2 linked regions of the Oryzias latipes genome follow. The protein of the gene in region 2 purifies or fractionates together with the protein of the main gene of each other region. This does not show direct contact. Links are inferred from orthologs where the notes say so. Each region holds a gene or a part of one and is shown on either strand. Other genes may lie near its edges.

Region 1 (10,324 bases), on a different chromosome or scaffold from region 2:
CAATGAAAATGGTGTTTTTAACTTATTCTTGTAAAGGAGGGCATAAATAAAGAAATAGGAAATACAGTATGTGGGGCGGGCCACAAGCTCCTGATGCATCCTCTGGCAGACAGCTAGATCCATGTGCGTCTTTGTTTTCCTCGTCTGAGCTGGCATCTGGATCAAAACTGTATGTCTAGATAGCTCTAATATTGCTCACCATTTTGATATGAGTGGCTGTAAGCTAGTGAGAGAGCACATAATCAGTAAGCTTTCAATTATGGGTGATGGGAAAGGGGGCGGGGTTGCTCAGCTCCGACAGTACCACCCACAACTAAGGGATAAATTTCCAATGAACTACTGCCGCACAACACAACACAAATTTTTTTATTTTTGGCTAAAAATGGCATAATCATAATCTAAAGAGCACCGGAGGCGCTATTAATATAGATCAAAAGATGATCGGAGTGGGACTTTACACTTGACCATGATGACCCATAACAATGCCATTAATCGTGCGTCTGTAAGCTCCAGTAACTCTTCATGCTTACATCATTGTTGCCTTCGCTGACTTGTCTCTCCTTTTGTCTTCTATCAGATGTTCCAGTGTTGGTTTGTCTCTTTTTGTTCATATCGGCGACAGTTTAGCTCAGGCGGTAGAGCAGGTCGTCCAACAACCGAAGGGTTGGCGGATCGATCTCCGCTCTCCCCAGCCAGCTGCCCCCCCCCCGAGCGCAGCCAGCCTGCAGCTCACCGTTCCCCCAGGGGATGGGTCAAATGAGGAGAACAAATTTCAGGTGTGTGACAGATAGTGGGACTTTAACTTTAACTATCTGAACAAAACCAGTCAGGAAAAATGGGCTGGAAACAACCAGTTCATTTCTTTCCACTGCTGCCAAAAGCATTCCGTCCTCTTTACTAAATTAAAACATTTTTTTTCAGTCTCCTGAAAGTGGAAATATTTCAAACATAGTTACAACAATATAACCTGAGACAAGAATGGAGTGGTTTGAATGATGCAAACTTGTATTTCTCTCTCAGATAATTTGATTTTGATTTCAATTAGACCGTAAAAAAATTAGTTCACTTTAATAGTGATGACTGAACATGTTCATTTGGTTGTTTAGTCAGTGTTGCTGTTGAACGGTTTCCCCGCCCAGTCTGGTGGTTTTGATTCTAACTTGGCGGGGGGAAATTGCTTTGGGCAGATGGACATTATTGAGGTGAGTTTGGGGTCTCTTTGGCAGTTTTAAGTTCCTTCCCACCCATACCACAGCCAGGTATGTGTGGGCAGAGGAGGCACGTCAGCCAGTACTTCACATGTAATCAGTCTCATCGTGAGTAACTAATGATAAAATAATAATATGTTCACTAATCTGTTCCTTAAACACAATTTATTTGACCTGTTTTTATCCTTAAAATCTCTGAATTTTGAGAATTTCCTGTTTAATTACAGCGCAGGCCGTGAGGTCATGGAGCACTGAGCTCTTCCTCACGGAGGATTGTGCAATCCCATGTTTACTGGGCTGACTGTGGTCGTTTTCTTCACTCAGCATACGCTGATAATTAAACGAGTTTTTTAAACAATTTTTTTTAGCATTGTAGACATTTTTATCACACAACCTAACTTTCCATTGAATAGTTAAATTTATTTCATGGTTGTCCTTCATTTGGTGTTTGGATCTGACACAAAGCTGCAATGAAATGGAACAAGGGGAGACAGAGCAAAACGACTGTGCTTGTTTTTGAGAAGTTACTATAGAAACAATAAATAATTTGTTTTATGAATACATAAATATTTTTGGAAGGATTTTTACTTTTGGTTTTGCACAAATTTAGGAAAATAGGAAATCATCAAATACTTTCTTGACCAATCAGGGAACGTAATTTGATGTAGCTTGAAAGGCTTTATTAACTCTGAAAATCAAATTTATTTTCACAATAACAGGTGCAAGACGATTTTTCCACTTTTGATTGTGATAAGAAGTTATACCAGAACCACTGGTATTTCATTATTTTTGTTTTTTTTTCCCCTTTCCTGCTTTTTCTTTCCTTTTTTGATTGTTCCTGGTGTTTGAGAATAATAAGGGTTCTTCAGTTGGTGTTTTTTTCATTTTTTATTTATTATTATTATTAAATTACTTGTAGTGTATGTAGATACACTCACTGGCCACTTTATTAGGGACACCGTGCTAGTTTCGGGTTTGACCCCCTTAGGCCTTCAGAACTGCCCTTGGTGGCATCGATTCCACAAGGTACTGGAAACATTCCTCAGACTTTGGTCCATATTCACATGAAAACATCACACAGATGCTGCAGATTTGTCGGCTGAACATCCATGATGCCAATCTCCACATCCAAAAGGTTCTCTATTGGGTTGAGATCTGGTGAGTAGAGGGTTGGGTAACCAAGTCCAGTTCTCTTATAGAGTCAATAGTTCCAGCTCGGAACTCACAACCTCCACCTCATGCGCCGGGCTCTATAGGTAAAGGAGAACCTCTCAGCTGATGGCCTGTCCAGATCGAATTGAGTTCTTCTTCCAGAGACAGATTAAATTATGCACCACACACACACTTCATTTGTTTAGTTGTTTAGTTGGATTTCAAGGTTTGCAGGTTCATAGAACTACTTTGGACCTGATGCAGGCACTCAACCCCTTAAGATGTCCTGGATGAGCCCCCACTATTCATGAAGCTCGGGAAGCTTTTAATTCCTTTTCACTCCATTTTGGATGTTTCATGGTTTTATTTTGTTTGTTTTTTACATTTTGTCCCATTTATCCTATAAACTTTATGTCAGAAATAAAATATTATCAGCACCAAAAACATAATTTTTAACTTTGACAAAGTGCCCATTTCGCACTTGGAGGAAAAAACTGATTCCAACCACAAAGAAAGGGGGAGCACCGAATTGGAGGATTTGGTAAACAAACTGTTTTCATTCAGAGGTTTTGCATTTCATGACATTCTCATTTTTACTTGTCTGTAGTCCAAACAATATCAAGGAGGGGCTGCAGGTTGTCACGTGTGTCATCACCTACAGTCAGGTGGGCTTCAGAACTGGTGCCTTTAAGCCAAAGTAAACATCCAGTGATGTAACCAAAGCTGTGCTCAGCTGCAGTCCTCTCAGCAGCTAGTCAGTGAGACGATGGGGAGAATAAGTGGAGTGGATCTAAAATGGAAGCCCTCCTGCTTTTAGCAGCAGCAGCAACCCAAGTGCTGACAGTCGTCAAACTCCACGAATGAGCCCGACTCGCCTCGTTTTTCAGTCTAAGAGGAGAATGTCATGAACGAATTCTGGAACATTTACTGCTCAGACCCTCTTATGTAATGTTGCAGATTGAGTTTTGCCTTCAATTCAGCTGTGAAATCCAACAATGCCAACCATCAGGGTGCTCACCATGCCTCTCAGCTCTTTCCAATTAAAGCTTGAGTCAGCTGTTCCAAAACAGGCCCAACATTAAAGAGGTCTTCAACAAAAAAGCATGCGCTTCTGGTTATTTGGCCCCAACTTGTAATTAAATTGATTTCTTGTGATCAAAACTTTATTGTATCGCCTCAATTAGAGTGTGTGGGTAAAATACGCAGAGCTGCTGGTTATTTTTACATTTAGTTGTGACAGTAACAAACATGAAGAAATGTGTGGAATGTGACATGGTTGTATGCTGGGATGTTCTGCCCCCTTGTGATTTAAACGGTACATCTAACAACCATAGCCAATTTTACACACACACACACACACCCATACACACACACACACACACACACACACACACACACACACAAACAGTCTTTTGATTTTAGTAGTTTTTCATTTATAAACTGTTTCAGATGAAAGAATAGCAAAGTTCTGAAAAAGACTAACATTTTTTATGTCCTGTGTTTTTGCCTTCATCGCGCATGAGCACAATTTTTCAGCAACGATTCTTATATTTTCCATGATGACTGCCATCTTTTATGGTTTAACTGAAGAAAATTTGACTGCATTAGATAATTCATAATTTTGAAACACAGCTTTTTCACGATTAAATTGTGCAATTTTGCACCTTTCGTTTGAAGAATGTATGAGGAAGGTTGCCTCTATAGCTTCATTTTAATTTTTTAAAGTATGTCTTTTAAACAAATTAAGATTTTTATTTCCTTTACAGTAGCAAGGAAATGCGATCTACATGAATAACAATGGACATGTGGCTTAATCGTCTCCTATTTCTCGCTATTATCGCCAAGGGGCGACATATTCCTCCACAATCTGTCCATTTCCCTCTGGCGTTGTCCTGTTCTCGTCCCGGGGTTAGTGACGTCACAACCAGGACCGGGGATCAAGCTGAACGTGAATATCAGAATCAAACCGGAAATTGAGGCGGAGTCCTAACAAATAAAAGCAGGCTCGATTTAACAAAAAGATTCTGAAAGTTAGCATGAAAAAAGGAAAATAACCAAACTAAGGTACGAGTAAACTATAAACAACATCAGTTCACCAACAGACATACATGTAATTTTACATGTAATTTATATGTAATTTTACATGTATTACATTTAGGCCTGCAGCCTTGCTTCAATGACCATTAGGTAAATACACTTCTGACCGTTAGCAGTTGGTAAATAAAAGATTTTTTTTTTACGTTTTGAATTGCATACTCATTTACCCACATCACAAAGGATAAAGTGTAACCATAGAGCAAAACAAAACAAAATACGATTTTAAATGGATAGGGATTGACCAAAAAAGTAACTTGTTGATCTTTCTATTTTATTTAATTCTTATGAAAATTTTTCTGGATTAAATATTTGTTGTTTGATGCCATCATATGGACTTCAAAAGAAAAGAAAATAGTAAACTACATGGAACTGCTGTTAGCGAAACTGCTGAAACATCTGCAAAATGATAAAAAACACCTACACTTCAAACACATATACCGTTAAACTGTGAAGAACCTCTTTTTAGATGTTCCTCACCCAGACAGATATTGGCAAATGAAAACACATTAATTTAAAAAAAGAATAGAAAGAATAAATGTTTCTGCTAATATTCCACATTCATTTGGTTTCAAAGTTTTCTCTTCCTAAACATTCGTATCATCTTTTCTTTACATTTTTGTATGCTGTTGCTAAGATTTTCATTTTTGACATTTAAAATAGGTCAAATAGACGACAAAACACCTGAAGAAGTACAAGTTGAATATGTCTAAAAATGTACTATTTCAAAAAAGAAAAAAGTTAATTATATATTAAATAAAGATAGTAGTGGTGAATAGACAATAAAGCAATAATAGTACAGTGTACATTTTTGTTTATCACAGGCATAAAAATGTGGAAAAATGCACACGTTTGTTATCATGAACAATATTTAACCATATTTAATTAAACTGTGTTTTCTGACTGCATTTAATATTTTTCAAATTTCTAATATGTAATTTTAATTTACTTGTTTTTGCAAAAATTGTACTTTTTAATTGAATTTGCCCTGTTCAAACCTAGCTTTATTTTGAAAAATCGGAACGGAAGTGAAGAAGTGTGTATCTCCTAGCTTGAAAGGAGGCTGATCGAGGCGGAGGCAGTCAGCCTGCGACGGAAAAACAAGCGACAACACGTCGAACAGTACAGGTTTAGTCAGTGTTTGAAGAAAGAAAATGAGATAAACCAGAGGAGATGAGGACTTAAACGAATTTTTTTGTCACTTTGACGAGGGTTTGGTCACTTATTATTGTTGGACCCGCGCGCGCTATCCCTGTGCTGTGACGCTTGTCTGCCCATTCTGACTGGAGTGAACACTAAGGTAAGGTAAGCCTGAAATACACAACTGTGTGAGTTGCTTCTGCTTACATTACTCTTTCCAGCTGCGCGTGCCGTAGATTGAAAGGGGTTTTATTGGTCTACAGAATTATGTGTGGAGGTTTTCCTCCGTAGTGGGAGTGGGAGGCTCGGAGTGTCACTTTCTCGCGTTGAGACGCTTGGTCTTTGTCCACTCTGACCACAGACTTGGCTCGAATCTCGCTCCAGTGTTCGCGAACCACTTTTTAAACCCCCACAATTGTATAAATTTGTTTAAATTCCCACACTTAAAATCATCAATTAAAATGTTCACTAACAACATTTGTACTTTTTCGGTTAGTAAATATTAGAGGGGCCTGACTCACAGACCATGGTCGGTGGTGGTGGATTCCAGGCTGTGGTCCGGCTTTGTTTAAAATAGTTTCTTTTAACTTCAGTTCTACAATTTCGTACTTTTTTGCGTGGAAAACAATTTCTGCCATCATAGGTGTTTGGTTGGTGTGGTTCGAGATCCTGCTGACAGCGCTACGGCTCACACAATGAAGCACACTTGCCAAAGAAGCAGCAGAAATCGGCCGGGCGCCTGGTGCCACATGCCGAGCTTGTCAGTGCTCCTAGCGGCCGTTGGTGGGAACTGCACCATGCTGTCGCCTCATCAGCCCCTGTGGATCAAAGGACGCCTTGTCTGTTCTCTCACTGACTTGATGCTGGATATTTTTGTACATTTTATTTTAGATTTAGAATTTGGGTTTTCAGATTTAAATCCAGGTGTTTAAAGGTGCTGAAAGTTCTTGCGTGGTTCAGGTAGACTTGTCACACCTACTGCAGACACACCCTGTGCAAAGCGCTCTCCCGGTCTACAGTCCGCACTGACAGGTATGAGGAAGGAGGCTGCAGGTCCTGTACTGCAGAAACTCCCGTTGCATCATTTCCTTGGAATTCGATACTTGGAGCAGAAATGTTGTTTTAGAGATGAATTTCCACCCCCCTCTATGTTTCTGACACCATTCTCCCTGTCAGCTATTAATAACTCACTCTGATGAAAACTGTGGAGTTTTTTTAATATGTTCTTGTTTTTTTTTTTCATGAGGGAGGACATACATGAAGAAAATTTAGATATAAAACTGCATTTATGAGTATTTCTTTATTCAGATCGTTGTGAATCAGGAGCCGATGAAAAATTACTGTCGGAAAAAGCTTGTTGCTTTGACGTAGGCGTTTACAACGGCAAGCCACAAACTCCCTGCTCTGCTCCATTCTGATGCCTCCACTAGTACACGACTGTGCATCTTCGTTGACCTCGTCTGAGGTGGAATCTGGCTCAGAACTGTACGGCTGGATAGCTGCAATATTGCCCGCCCTTTTTGTGAAACCCCTAACGTTAGGTTGGGATGTGTGAGGGGCTCTAAGCTAGCGGGAGTTAGTGTAAACAGATAGATGACGAGATGTGGGGGTGGGCTTTCTCTGTGTGCCCACACCTCAGAGGCAAATTTCTGATGAACTCCTGCCACTCTGCATAACTATGTCCTAGAAAACGACACAGATTTTTTGATTTTGGCTAAAAAGAGCATCATCACGCTTTTACAGTAGATCAAAAGATGATCAGAGTTTGACTTTAAGCTATGTTCTCATCGCCCTCGGCAACATGTTTTTCAAGCAGACACCTTCGATGAGAAGTCTATGTAAACACTGTTTTATGGGCTTTTTTGCTCAAAACTCTTGTGTTCATGCCTGGCTACGCAAGTTTTTATGACAATGAACACGCGTTGGAAGTTAAACCAGGTCGAACTTTGACCAATCAAGGACTTGGATTTTGGAGTGACATATATATGGTTTCCTTTGTAATTCACGAAAGTGCCAACGGTTTGAAAGTTGATCATGAAGGAGGAATTAATGATTGTGGTTTGTGCCCGGCTGGAATTCTGGCATCAAGTCTTTAATATATTGGAATATAGCTGTCAAAGAAAAGACAAAAAAATAAAACCTGGAGCAAGATTTACCAGATTTGACTTTTTGCACCAAACCTTTTCTAGTACATGGTAGAAAAAGAAAAAAAAAGGGTACTTTAACATGCATTAAATGCATGGTGTGTATTAGAGGTCCAACGGATCACGGATGACCCTTGATGACCCCCCCCCCCCCCATTTAAATCGATTGTCCGTTCAAACCAAAGACAATTTGTGCGTCAAATTCAATTAATTTGAGTTAAAATAACAAAAATGAGTTTTTTACAAATACATCATATTGTCAACAATCACGATTTTGAATATGTGATTTAGAAAAATGTAAACAATAATTACTGTATTCTACTATGGATGTATTGTGAAGCTTCTAGGAGTGTGAATTCTACATTTAGGTTTTAAATATTGTTTTCAGAATTGCCTATTTTTATTCATATATTAAATGGATCCGTTTTTTAGTTTTTAGTCGTTTCTTTTAAAACAAACCCGATCTTTCCTGTCATCTTCTTAACCGTTTATTCCCTTTCGGGGTCACGGGGTTGCCGGAGCCTATCCCGGCCACTTGGGCGTAGGCAGGGGATACCCTGGACTGGTCGCCAGTCTGTCACAGGGTAGAATATCCTCAATCACACATCCATTCACTCTCACACTCACACCTATCGACAATTTAGAGTTGCCAATCAACCTATGTAGCATGTTTTTGGACAGCGGGAGGAAGCCGGAGATCTCGGAGAAAACCCACGCATGCACGGTGAGAACATGCAAACTCCACACAGAAAGGTCCCCCATCTTTCCTATAAACCAAAAATCAAAAGTACATTGGAGTAGAATATTACAGTATTTTCAGAACTATGAGCGTACCAGATTATAAAGCGCTCTATTTTTGAACTTTTTGTGTTATATAAGGTGCATTAAGGAAGACAATAGAGTCACAGTCCGTTGGTTAGTCAGACTTTTTTAACTTTGTTCACAGTTATTCTAGAACTCGTTCGTAATCCGCTCTGGTAGAAACTTTAGACATGTTATTGTATTCGCAATACCTCCAACTTCCGATCTTATTTGCAAAACGTAAAAAAAACAGACTATTTACTCTACGCTAACTCCCAACCTTGTTAGTAACGAAAAAAAAAAATATTACACCGCTACATATTAACTGAGTTGGCATGATCATAATAACACCCAACTAACCATTTTATAAGGGTACCTCACAAAATCGCTTTAAAATCAGTATCAGTATATCTAAGGTGTTTCAGATAATTTTTTGGAAAAAAATTAAGGTTTTTAAGGTCACCATATAGTGTAGAAAATACAGTAGTCCAATATTTTCTTCCTCCCATTTTCTGATCTAGCTCAATTGAAAGTGTAATTGTTTTCTACCTGCTAAAATTCTTAGGTCTGTCGGAGAGATGAAGGAAATATAAAGACTAGATTACATGTTAGTATTGGTTTTGAGATGATGTCTTTTTCATTGTCAACGTGATCATTTATAATAAGCGGAATGGGTTATCACACATCCAGTCTAACTGTATGTACCACAGCAGTCTGACTGCATGTAGACTGGTGGTACATGCAGTTTTGTGAAAGCATTTCCTTTTATGTGACCCTGGAATCTATCAGGAAAAGAGGGTTCATGCTGCTACCAAGCAGAAGCAGACGGAGCGTGGTGTGTGGTCTTCAAATTGAAATTGTTTGTTTTACTTCTCTTCTTCCTTTAGTTTGCTTAAATCTTCTTGGGTTAGCTTACTGCAGCACGTATCACCAGATAGAAATGCACAAAAGACAATCCTTTTGTCTTTGCTGTCAAACAGTTGCAGGGTTGATATTTGGGTTGAAGTAAATCATTAATAGTAAATGTAATTACATTACTCGTCTGTAAAACTTATGTTCAACCCATGTTCCTATAGAGAAGAGGTCTGGTGGTGGTTCCTGTGACTCAGTGCCAGGCTGCAAAACAGGCAGCAAAAAAATAAATAAATACATAAACTGAATAACTGCAGTCTCTAGGTCCTGTGACCCATATCATCACTCTGCCTCTGCCGTGCTCAACACAAATGTGGCAAACAATAACTTTCACCATCCTCACTGACACCTGAGATGCTTAGGTTGTACAGTAGTTAGGATTGTGCCGATACCATCGTCCATCGTGAAGGCTGACTGACATCACTATGGAGAGACACCATCGTGATGCCACGCCCCCGCCACGCTGCGAGTCGACACCATAAGCCGCAGTTACATGTGCAAAATATCTTAATCGGATCAATGGTCGGAATAGAATTCAACCGTGTACATGGGCCCAGAAAAACTTTTTCATATTATAACAAACGTTCACATGGGTCACACTTTCGGTCGGAATAAATCCTTCGCACATGCGCAGAAGTGTTTGAAATACCGGAAGAAGAAATGAGTTCTGCTGAGAGGCTACATACCTAGTAGGCCTGCACAATATACCGCACATTTATCGTTATCGCGAAATCAAGCTGTGCAATATGCATACCGCAAAAGACGGCAAAAATCGCAATAAATTATTACCTTAAATGTGCTAAAACAAACTCATGGCAGCTTGAAATATTGAACAAAAGAAATAAATCCCTTTATGCATTTAACCAATCAGAA
Region 2 (9,736 bases):
GCCCTCACAGCTCTGTTTAAACTAGACCATCAAAGATGAGTGGTGTGATAAACCACCGTTTTCCGTGTCAAGTTCCACTAAAATATTCTTGTGGACCTGTTTCAAAGGTTTTTACCCCTTTCCTTGGTTCTGTTTGCTACACAGAAGCAAACAGAACCATCAGGAAATGTCACATGGTAACGACAGCTAAACATCTAGGGATGGTACAACCAAAAACGAGCACTGACCATGATAAGAAAAGAGCTTGCAAGTAAGTCCCTCTGACAGCTTCAGTGGAATCCTTGCTTTTAGAAGCCTGACTGGCCCAAACCCCATATACATTTTTACTATACTACATGTTTTTCCGGTTTATGAGATGTGCTTCTTTAGGTTCATACTGTGGACCGTTTTAACATGCTTTTTTAACTCCATTTGTAACATACATCTGTGGTTTTTTATCGCTTTCTGCTCTGGGTTTGCTAGAAAGTCCATTCAAACTGTAGGTGAACCATATCGGGGTTCACTTGCAAAAACAGAGTACCTCATTTTAAGAAAGAAAGTTTGTGTGTTTGGTCTGCGAGAATAAATTCTGGTGCAGACTCATCAGTGTTGATATTTAAACTGTGGTCTTTTTAAATGACACATGCCAATTGAATGTGTTCTCACCCCAGAGTGCGGCACACAGGATCTCAGAGTTGAACTTCTTCTTGTATTTGCGGATCTCTGGTGTGTCATTGGGGGGGCGTGTGTTGGTGGGATTCACATTAACCATGGATCCTTTCCTGACCTCCATCTTTAGCTGCTCGAACCTGGAGTCTGAAAACAGAGAGAAAAAATAGGTTTCTAGGATGGAAACCACCAGGGTGAATGGGATCTTCAGCTGGTATGAGATCAACCTAGTCCAGCTGATTGCTTTTTTTTTTTTTAACCAACAATCTAGCACAGTGACATGAATAATAGCTAACTTTTAATCCATCAATGTTTCACATGTTTATAAACTCAATAATTTACTCAAATTCAAATATTTTAAATAAATAAAACTACAAACTGTTGGAAAAAGCTATCTTGTTTAACACACAAACCTTAAACTATGCTAAAGTAAATAAGCAATAACAACCACAAAAATGGGTGCTTGGAGTTTTCAGGGGTTAAAGATCAAATTCTTCAGAGGATATGACCTTCTGACTCACCACTGATAGACATGGTATCCCCTGTATCTCCTGGTGATTGGTACATGCCAAGATCCACAAAAGTGGTGAAGGAGGACTTGCCTGATGCTTTCACCAAACCTCTGGACTGATACTGGTGGAGAAAAGCAGCTAAATGAGTTTATGGTTTTATTCAAGTCATCATCAAGTTGGAAGCATTTTCAAACTGTTATTTCCCAACATATTTAAATAGATGTGTTCATGACCACTAATAGGTAGATTTTATGGAGAAGTGATGGCATACATGACACATATATAAAAATTGAGCTAAAATGAGGGACAGATAAACTTAGAATCAGTAAACGTACGTCATAAACTGAGTCCTTCCCCGGAGAGGAGTGAGAGGCTGAGTCAGTGGGGGAATGGGAAGGCTGCACCACATCTGGCAAATTTGTGTATCCATTGTGATTCCTCTTCTCTGGGGTCTGCAAAGACACACACACACACACAATAATGCAGATCAGTAACATCAATGACCTAAATCTAGGATAATCATTTACAGAAATGTCTGTAAGGCCTTTACTTGTTTAGCTTGGCAAATTTCATGAAATAAATTGAGCTTTCAATTAATTTTGAAATTTATATTTCTAACAACAACAAGTAACTGAAAATGAATTCATGCAAAAGCTGCTTTCCATAACCAAAAATAACATCTGGAGTCCCATTGGAAAATATATTTGCCCGTCTTTTAGAACAGCTTTACTGGTCTGCATGAATAACACAAAACCACGGAGGAGATTATTTTTACTAAAAAGTCAAAAGGATTCTAAAAAAAAAAATAGTGCTAAATATTATTGGGGTTTAGGTTACCCAAACCTAAACACGTGAGACCTGAGATCACCTCAGCATTTGATAAAATCGAACAAAAACAAGTGCAACTCGTTTTAAAAGTATAAATGAAATAATGTCTTAAAAAATGTAAGGTCTCAAAATTTAAGGAAACGTTGTTGAAGATCTGCTCAATGGAAACAGTTTTCTTAATAGAACAGTCATATGCTTCAGTGTATTGATCAGGTTTAAATGGAAAAGAACTCAATGGATGGAGCATTTAGCAAAAGATGAATATTTCTCCATCAAACAAAAATAACTTTGTACAGATATGGATCAAATATTGATTACCATACAATTTTATGCAACAAAATGTTCCATTATAACCAGATTTCAATCATAACATAACACATTTTATTTATCCCCACGCATAGGGATGACTCACTCTCTGCACCAGCATAGTCTGATCCCCATATCCTCCAGCTTGATCTCCTTCTCCCCCCTCAGCCTCGTCTTCATGAACAACCATGGTGTTGACTGAATCAGTGTCTGCGTCTCTGTGGCTGAAACAAAAAAGAAAAACAGACCTTTGAACTGCAAGGAGAATAACGCTTTCAAAAGAAGCTAAATTGAAAAAAGTGTCGTGAAGGTTGAGCTGTTTTGTGACTTTTTCACATTTTAATAGATGTGTTACCGATCTGTTGGACTTTCTTCCTCCTCTGGTCCTTCACCGCTCTCGCTTTCTTCACTACTCTCACTGCTCTCTGAGGAAGAGGAGTAATCATTGGCCTTGACTGGGGGCCTCGGGGGCTCTTCAGCACGCTCCTTGGCATAGAGGCCGTGGTCCTGCAAACCCATTCAGTAGCATTTTTTTTATGAATTCATTCATAGCAGCTTTGAGCGTCATCAAAACAACAGAAATTGATATGAAACAACATTACGGACAACAATCTCAAGACAACGGAACCAAACTGACAAAAGGTGCAGTCCTTCAATTCACTGAATGTAAAAAACTCAAACATGAGTAAAATGACAAGTGAGAACACTGTACAGCATGCCATTCACCTATTCTGAACATCACACGGTCAAGTAGCACAACAGAAATTCATGCATGAACACACAACAACATACACCAAGAGAGGCCAGAGTTACTAACCTCCCCTATAGCCCTCTTGTAACTCTGGACATTCAAGGTAAAAATCACCAAAGAGATTTAAAAAAAAGGGAGAAACATGAGGAGCAATGATACCAGTGTTTGTTGTTTCATTAAAGTGCTATCCAAACTGAGATAAACAGCATTATCAGTGTTAGAACACTAACATAAAACATGAGATATTTTATAACAATTTCTTTTTAGTGTTTAGTCTTTACATAACACTCAGCAGTGAAAGTCACAAGAAGAAAACAACAACTTTAGATACACATATACCAGCATGTGAACTCTTAAAAGTGCCTAAATAAATTCAGATGAATTTTTTTTATTTTGATGGTTTAATTGCTCCAGTTTTCATTTTCTTAAACATTTGTTAGCCATTACTTGCTTATCGAAGGCTGACAAGAAAGTCAAAATATAAAAAAATGAAATTAACTGAAAAGTCAATAGTAAATGGATCCAAAGTGAAATAAATGTTCACAGAGTAAATAAAGAGGAAATAAACACATTTAAGGCCCATTCATCAATTAGAATTCCTACAACGTATGAACTGCTCTCACTTATTTCTTCAGAAGTAAATTATGTATTTTTTGAGCCGACTTCAACCATTACATCAACAACTTATGCTTCATTTCTGCAGCTTTGAATAAATCTAAACATAATTGATATTTTCACTATCAAAAGTACAGTTTAGTTTCAGTATAGATACTTTACAATAGTCAACATTAAATTGAATGCCCTCCCAAAACTTTATTGATGTTTTTTAACTGGCAGTGTCTAAATATAGTTTATCCTTTATAATACACTTCTGTGAAAAGGATTTTCCACTTAACCTTAACAGTTGAAAGTACAAACATTACTGCTGACAGACAAACTCGTGTCTGAACGTCCAGACAAAAGCTTAAGACGAGGAGATGGACAGGGGAGGTGATTCATGTTTTGGCTGCGCATCACTACACATGGAAGAGAGGCGCGGGGGGGGGGGGGGGGGGGGGGGGGGGGTTCCTGTGTAGCTTTTTTTAAAAACTGGAAATGTCATTTATTTCTGGGTGGAAAAGCTAACATGGTTGACACTTTAAAAAGTTCACACAACAAACTCAGCTCATGTCTTATATTTTTTGGTTTTTAGAGATTTGATTCTGTTTACTTTCTTTTTTAAAGGTGTTTTAGTCACTTCTAGTTTTACTTTCCAACTTTTGTGTTATTACTTCAATTTCTTGCCAAATTTTTACTTTTAATGATTTTGGGAAAAGACAAAGACAAGTTATAAAAATTGGCACTTTATCCAATCCCCTTTTTTCTGGTCCAATAACCAATACGTTTACTAATTTACTTTGAAGGAAATAAAATTATTTAAATAAGGTTTGAATTAACCTCTATTTTCACATCTAATCCTTCATTCCTGTGAGACTTTGTTACTTTTGTTTTTATTCTTTGATTTTTAGCAACTTTCACCCTCAGAACAAAACGAATGTAATATGAGCATTTGTGGAGCTCAGACTTCAAAGAAGGCAACATAAAAAATGTAAAAAATCTAAACAAATCCAAGCATTCAGTTTTGGTCAGAGTAAAGGGAAAAAAGGACTTTAAACTATAAAGAAAGCTTCCCCTTAACGTGATGTATTATGTGAAGTAAGGGTTAAAATACGTTAAAGCTGTTAATATAAGATATACAACCATTTGGTAATGTCAGTGTCATGAGAAGAGAAGCATTGACACATTATCTATGTAATACTGTCTGAAAGAAGCACTCACAGCAGGGCGCCCAGGGCGAGAGGAAGTTCGAGATTCCCCTGGCCTATGGCGGCTTTCATGAGAAAGCATGGGCGAATCCATCTTAGAAGAACCTCGAAAAGAAAAGAAAATCCAGAATGCTCTAAGTGAGAAGTTCTGATACTGAGAAGGAAGGAAGAGCTGTGGGGGAGCAGCGACTCACTGAGGATGCGATGCCTCTCCAGAGAGCCCGTCTGTGGCAGATTGGAAATGATGCTCATGCTGTCGCCTCTCTCCCAACGGTCATTACGGCTGAGATCTGGATTGCTGACATGAGGATACAATAATCACAAGCAGTCAGTAATAGTCATCATCATTTAAAAACTGTGCTAACGTGGATAAAGATCAATGTAATGACTTGAGTGTCTTTGGTACCTGGCTCTCACCGGGTGCCTAATACCAGAGGTCAGGTTGGCATTAAGAGCTGTAGCAATGGATGCTGTCCTCTGAGGGACCTGAAAATGTTATATTTTTAGATATGAAACTGGTCTTTAAAAACAATACCTTGTGTAAAAAAAGCAAAACTGTTAAGGAATTATGTGAGGTTTCAAAGCTTGTGTTATTGTACAGCCGAGTAATCTCATGCCCAGTTGGAACCAGTCAGAGGATGCTACCTTTGGAGGAAGCTCTACATCTGGCAAACGAATCCAAGGGCCACGTTCCTCCCTGATCTGATGTGCAAGTGGTGCGGGGGTTTCAGAGGTGGGGTCGGAGTTCTGACGTACAAGCTCTCTGGAGTGGTTGGGGCGAGGTATGGGGAGGAGGGAAGGATCCTGAGTGGGGAATGCGGACATGTTCTTAGTGGGCTGGTCACAGAGGGACTGAGAGCGAGGAACAGGGGCAGCGTAAGGCTTTAGAGGAACCAAATGAGCCATCTGAAACTGCAGAGGACCAGGAGGGAGGTGCAGCCAAGTGAGAGCGCAGGAAGACATCAAAGTGGGGAAGAAGACACAGTTATGTTTTTGTTGGAAGGGGATTTTGTAAATGAGGGAACAAAGTGAAAACAGACATGGAAAAGAAAAAAAGAAGCAAAGTGTCAAAGGTAAAGCAACTGAGGAATTAGGAGGCAGAAATGTAGATCCATGCATTTTCACAATAAGCACAAACCTTGCTCTGCCCCCCTTGAGGTTCCACTGGCCTCTGCATGGGTGGTGTCTGAGCAACCGATCCTGATTGGCTGATAGAATCGGCACGCGACTGGATATTAGTGTCAGAGACCGTAGTGCAGATTTTGGGTGAACCCTGCCTGTTGAGTTTACTCCGCTCCTCCACCTAGAACAGGACGGTGAAAAGAAAGGTCAACAGTGTGTCGTCATGAAGGGCGCTGTGACTTAAACCAAGCCCAGCCTGGTACCTCTCGGGCCCAATTAGGTTTGTTGTTTGGCTCCAAGTTTTTGTTGTAGTGGTAAAGCTGGGGCTTCTTGTCTTGCTGCTGCTGTTGCAAAGACACCAGGTAGGCATGCTCCTGCTGCAGCTGTCTCTGCAGCCGCTCTGACTGGCGCTGCTCCTCCAGCTGTTTGCGCTTATACTCCTGAACAAAAAAGAAAAACAGCCACAATCAAAGGACAGTGGACGCACAAAAAACATCACATGGGGCAAATATAATTGTTCAATTTCTGACAAAACGTCATCATTTTGCTGATTGGCATGAGGTAAGTCGGCTGACTTGTTGACTTTTTGTCACCAGGTCTCTGCTCTTCCAGCCTTTGGCAAACAAAAATAGTCATAACTTGAATACCTCAAGTTAAAATTCAACTTTCTGCAAAGTGTTAAAAAAACATACAGTAAACTTTAAATTAGTTTTTCCTAATATGCAAAGGTGATCTCAAATCATAAACAAATTATATTGCCACCATTATTGAGGTCTGCACTCAATGAAGAATGACGAATAGCATCATCAGCAGCAAACAGCAACTATCCGGTGGCTGCAGATCCATGGGTTTAAGCTGCCGTCTGCCCATCAGTTGATTGGGGATTTGGTTCCCAACTTAAGAGTGAGTGTGTCCTTAAATATAATGGATAACCCCACAACTCTAGGAAGCCTGAAAGTTGCTCAAGATGTCTCTTCCATCTGTCATTTTATGCGAAAATGCAATTTTCTGCAGACCAAAGTGGCTGCATTAAGATTTCTTTGTGACAAAGTGTAGTCCTAGCATGGTGCAGCCAGAGAAGAGGCCCATCTACTGCCAGCAGCACCATCAAAGCCTTTACTTCTGCTACACATAGATACCCCAGCCTGTGTTAAACACCTCATACTCCAGAAACCTATCTGACGCGACACACTGGTCTCCATAATAAGCCTTTGGTCCCAGTATTAAGTATTAAAAGCAAAAAATAATTTGGATGTAAACCTGCAACTTTAAACAGAGCTAATCTGTTGTTCTATAACTGGTAAAAACACAACACACATTTGTGCATCATAAGGAACCTATATTGGAACTCCCAAAACTATTTTAACCTAGAATTACTTTTATTTGCCACTATATTGCACTGGAATCACTACAAGCTTTGCAAAGGCTGCCACAGTTTAAATAAAAGGCAAAAATTAGAGGCAAAGGCAGTCTGCTAGTTTCTAGTTGAAAGCAGATTTGAGGATTTAAACTGCAGTAGAATCAGAGAATATTGGTTGCAAAATGTAGCCTTTAAACATTCATAGTTTCCACAGGGGGGTTGCCCTGTGACTGACCCTGTTGTCTGCCCCCATAAAGCCTAGCTCAGGAATCCTGTGAATGCACTTTTAAGTGCCTCAAGTGTTCTACATATAGAGTCAATAATCCCTCTGTAAAACTGAAATAGACCTCAGTGTTAATTATGACCTCAGTACATTCTACAGTAGGAAACTAACGGAGAAGTCACAGGAAATGCGGGAAATCTAGGCTTCAACTGAAGGCTGCAAAGCGCCTAAACTCACCTGGAAATCTAGGTCATTAAATATGTTAAAATATCTGCAATAATATGTGAGCAGCACTAATGGCTTGTAATGTACATCCACATCCTCCAATCTACCGATTAGAATAACCATTACTGCACACTTTATGACAATGTAGGGATGTTTATCTTTATTCATTTCAGATTATATGGCAAATAAAATATTTAAAAAAAAAAATCACATTACATTAAAAAGTTAAAATAAAAGCTAAATGTATTAAACACAGCATGTTTATGTCCCGACTGATTAACTGTTATTGGTGAAATAATCATAAACCCAAGCTTATGACTGTAAACAAACATTAGGGAGTAGTTACCATGAGCAGTGCCTGCTCCTGAAGCAGCTGCTGCTGTAGGATTTCTAACTGCCGCTGCTCTTCCTCTAACTTATGTCTGATAAACTCCTGCAGGAAGGTAAGAAGACAGAGGTGGTGCTCATTAGGGTGATGACAGGAGAAATGAAGGAGTGCCAGATTTGTTTAGAAGCTGGAATGATGCGTTATGCAAGATCTGTAAAATGTAGCATGAGATGTTTTGATTAAATGTCATTATTAATTACATAATAGGAAAGGTGCAGATGCTTTTTAGAAGAGGCAACGTATCTAAGTTTACACACATACTTGCAGATCTAAATAAATAAAATGAAGATAAGCAGACTTTGAGATTTGAAACATTTTACATTAGTGGGGCGCCCAGGAAACAAAGATGAGGTGTGTAGGAGTAAAAGGAGATGGTGCTCTGAGTACAGACTGAGAGGACCCTGCAAGAGCTTCCGCACAAAAAAACCCCTCTACCCTCAGTAAATACACTAATTTAGGCCTTTGCTGCTATGGCAACCCACTGATGGAATTTCACCACCAGAGCAACTTGTGCCGTATTGTTGGAAGACACGCCTTAACTTCATGGTGATTGGCTGCTTACAGATTCCGTGTCCCCTGCAGTTGGTTACCTGCTCCCTCTCAGCCATCCTTCTATCTTCCTCCCGTCTCATATCGTCAATTCTCCGATGGGGACCTTTTTCTTGCTGCCTCACCATCTCTCGCTCCTTTCTCTGTTGCTGGGAGAGAGGTGACAGGAAAGAGAAATTACACAAAGGAAACTAGTCTGCTTTTTAGCAAATGATCCCCCTGAAAAGAGCAGCAGAAAGAGTGAGGAGTAGAGAATAGATGTGACTTATCCTGACTATTACACAACTATTGGTGTGTGTGATGTTCTAATTAGAACACATCAGTGACAGTTTCTTATGTTTGACAGAGAGAAATCTTAATTTATGCTCACATTGATCACTGAAACAATGATATTTCTCAGTGAAGAAATTATGGCTTCTGAACTGGGAGAGAAACACAAATCCATTCAGCTGTTAATTATAAATTCACTGTGAGCACGGAGTGCAGGGAGAACACAATAACACCAGTTTGATCCATTAGATAAAGCAAGATCAGCACCCTAAAAAAAAACCTAAACACACAATTATCAAAAGATGAACCAATGACAGAAAAACTGACAACAAAGCGGGTGAAAACAGGTTAAGTAGACCAAATGCTCACCCTAAAAATGTAAAGGCCAGGAGGATTTTCTTCAGGGTTTTAGATCTAAATTAAGGTCGATGTTTTAGGATTCACAAATACTACAGCAGGTAATATGATTAAACCAGATGGCATTACTTCAACTTATGAGAGAAGCCAGGGATATCTTATGACCATGACTTTAAACTTAACCAGAGTTTCTGGAACAGGAGTTCCCACATACATGATGTTACCAAAAAACTGATAAAATACACCAAAAAAATGCTGTCATCAGCTCTCCAGCTGAAGCACATTTCTGCAGGAGCTCACTATCTCTGACTGTCCCCGCAAAACTTCGAAAATAATTGGAATCTGAAAATGTATTTAATTTTGCTTTTAGAAAAACTGATATAAGGAGAGCA

What was found. The genes of interacting proteins can lie anywhere in the genome.
Region 1: the proteins of mink1 (region 2) and nck2 purify together in Homo sapiens (affinity purification with mass spectrometry; 3 studies listed by BioGRID and IntAct, counting the BioPlex papers as one, with this or other methods). This does not show direct contact. The link is inferred for Oryzias latipes from reciprocal best matches to the Homo sapiens genes MINK1 and NCK2.

Annotation. Positions count from the first base shown.
Region 1 is NC_019879.2:10,279,138-10,289,461, forward strand, and holds the start of nck2 (cytoplasmic protein NCK2), read left to right. Parts: upstream 1-5,488; 5' UTR 5,489-5,759; intron 5,760-10,324. UniProt on the Homo sapiens protein: Adapter protein which associates with tyrosine-phosphorylated growth factor receptors or their cellular substrates. Maintains low levels of EIF2S1 phosphorylation by promoting its dephosphorylation by PP1.
Region 2 is NC_019872.2:15,690,690-15,700,425, forward strand, and holds part of mink1 (misshapen-like kinase 1), read right to left. Parts: intron 8,867-9,736; coding exon 8,759-8,866; intron 8,214-8,758; coding exon 8,127-8,213; intron 6,413-8,126; coding exon 6,236-6,412; intron 6,154-6,235; coding exon 5,989-6,153; intron 5,763-5,988; coding exon 5,496-5,762; intron 5,337-5,495; coding exon 5,257-5,336; intron 5,149-5,256; coding exon 5,045-5,148; intron 4,956-5,044; coding exon 4,864-4,955; intron 3,136-4,863; coding exon 3,112-3,135; intron 2,802-3,111; coding exon 2,650-2,801; intron 2,519-2,649; coding exon 2,401-2,518; intron 1,613-2,400; coding exon 1,496-1,612; intron 1,282-1,495; coding exon 1,170-1,281; intron 796-1,169; coding exon 646-795; intron 1-645. UniProt on the Homo sapiens protein: Serine/threonine kinase which acts as a negative regulator of Ras-related Rap2-mediated signal transduction to control neuronal structure and AMPA receptor trafficking.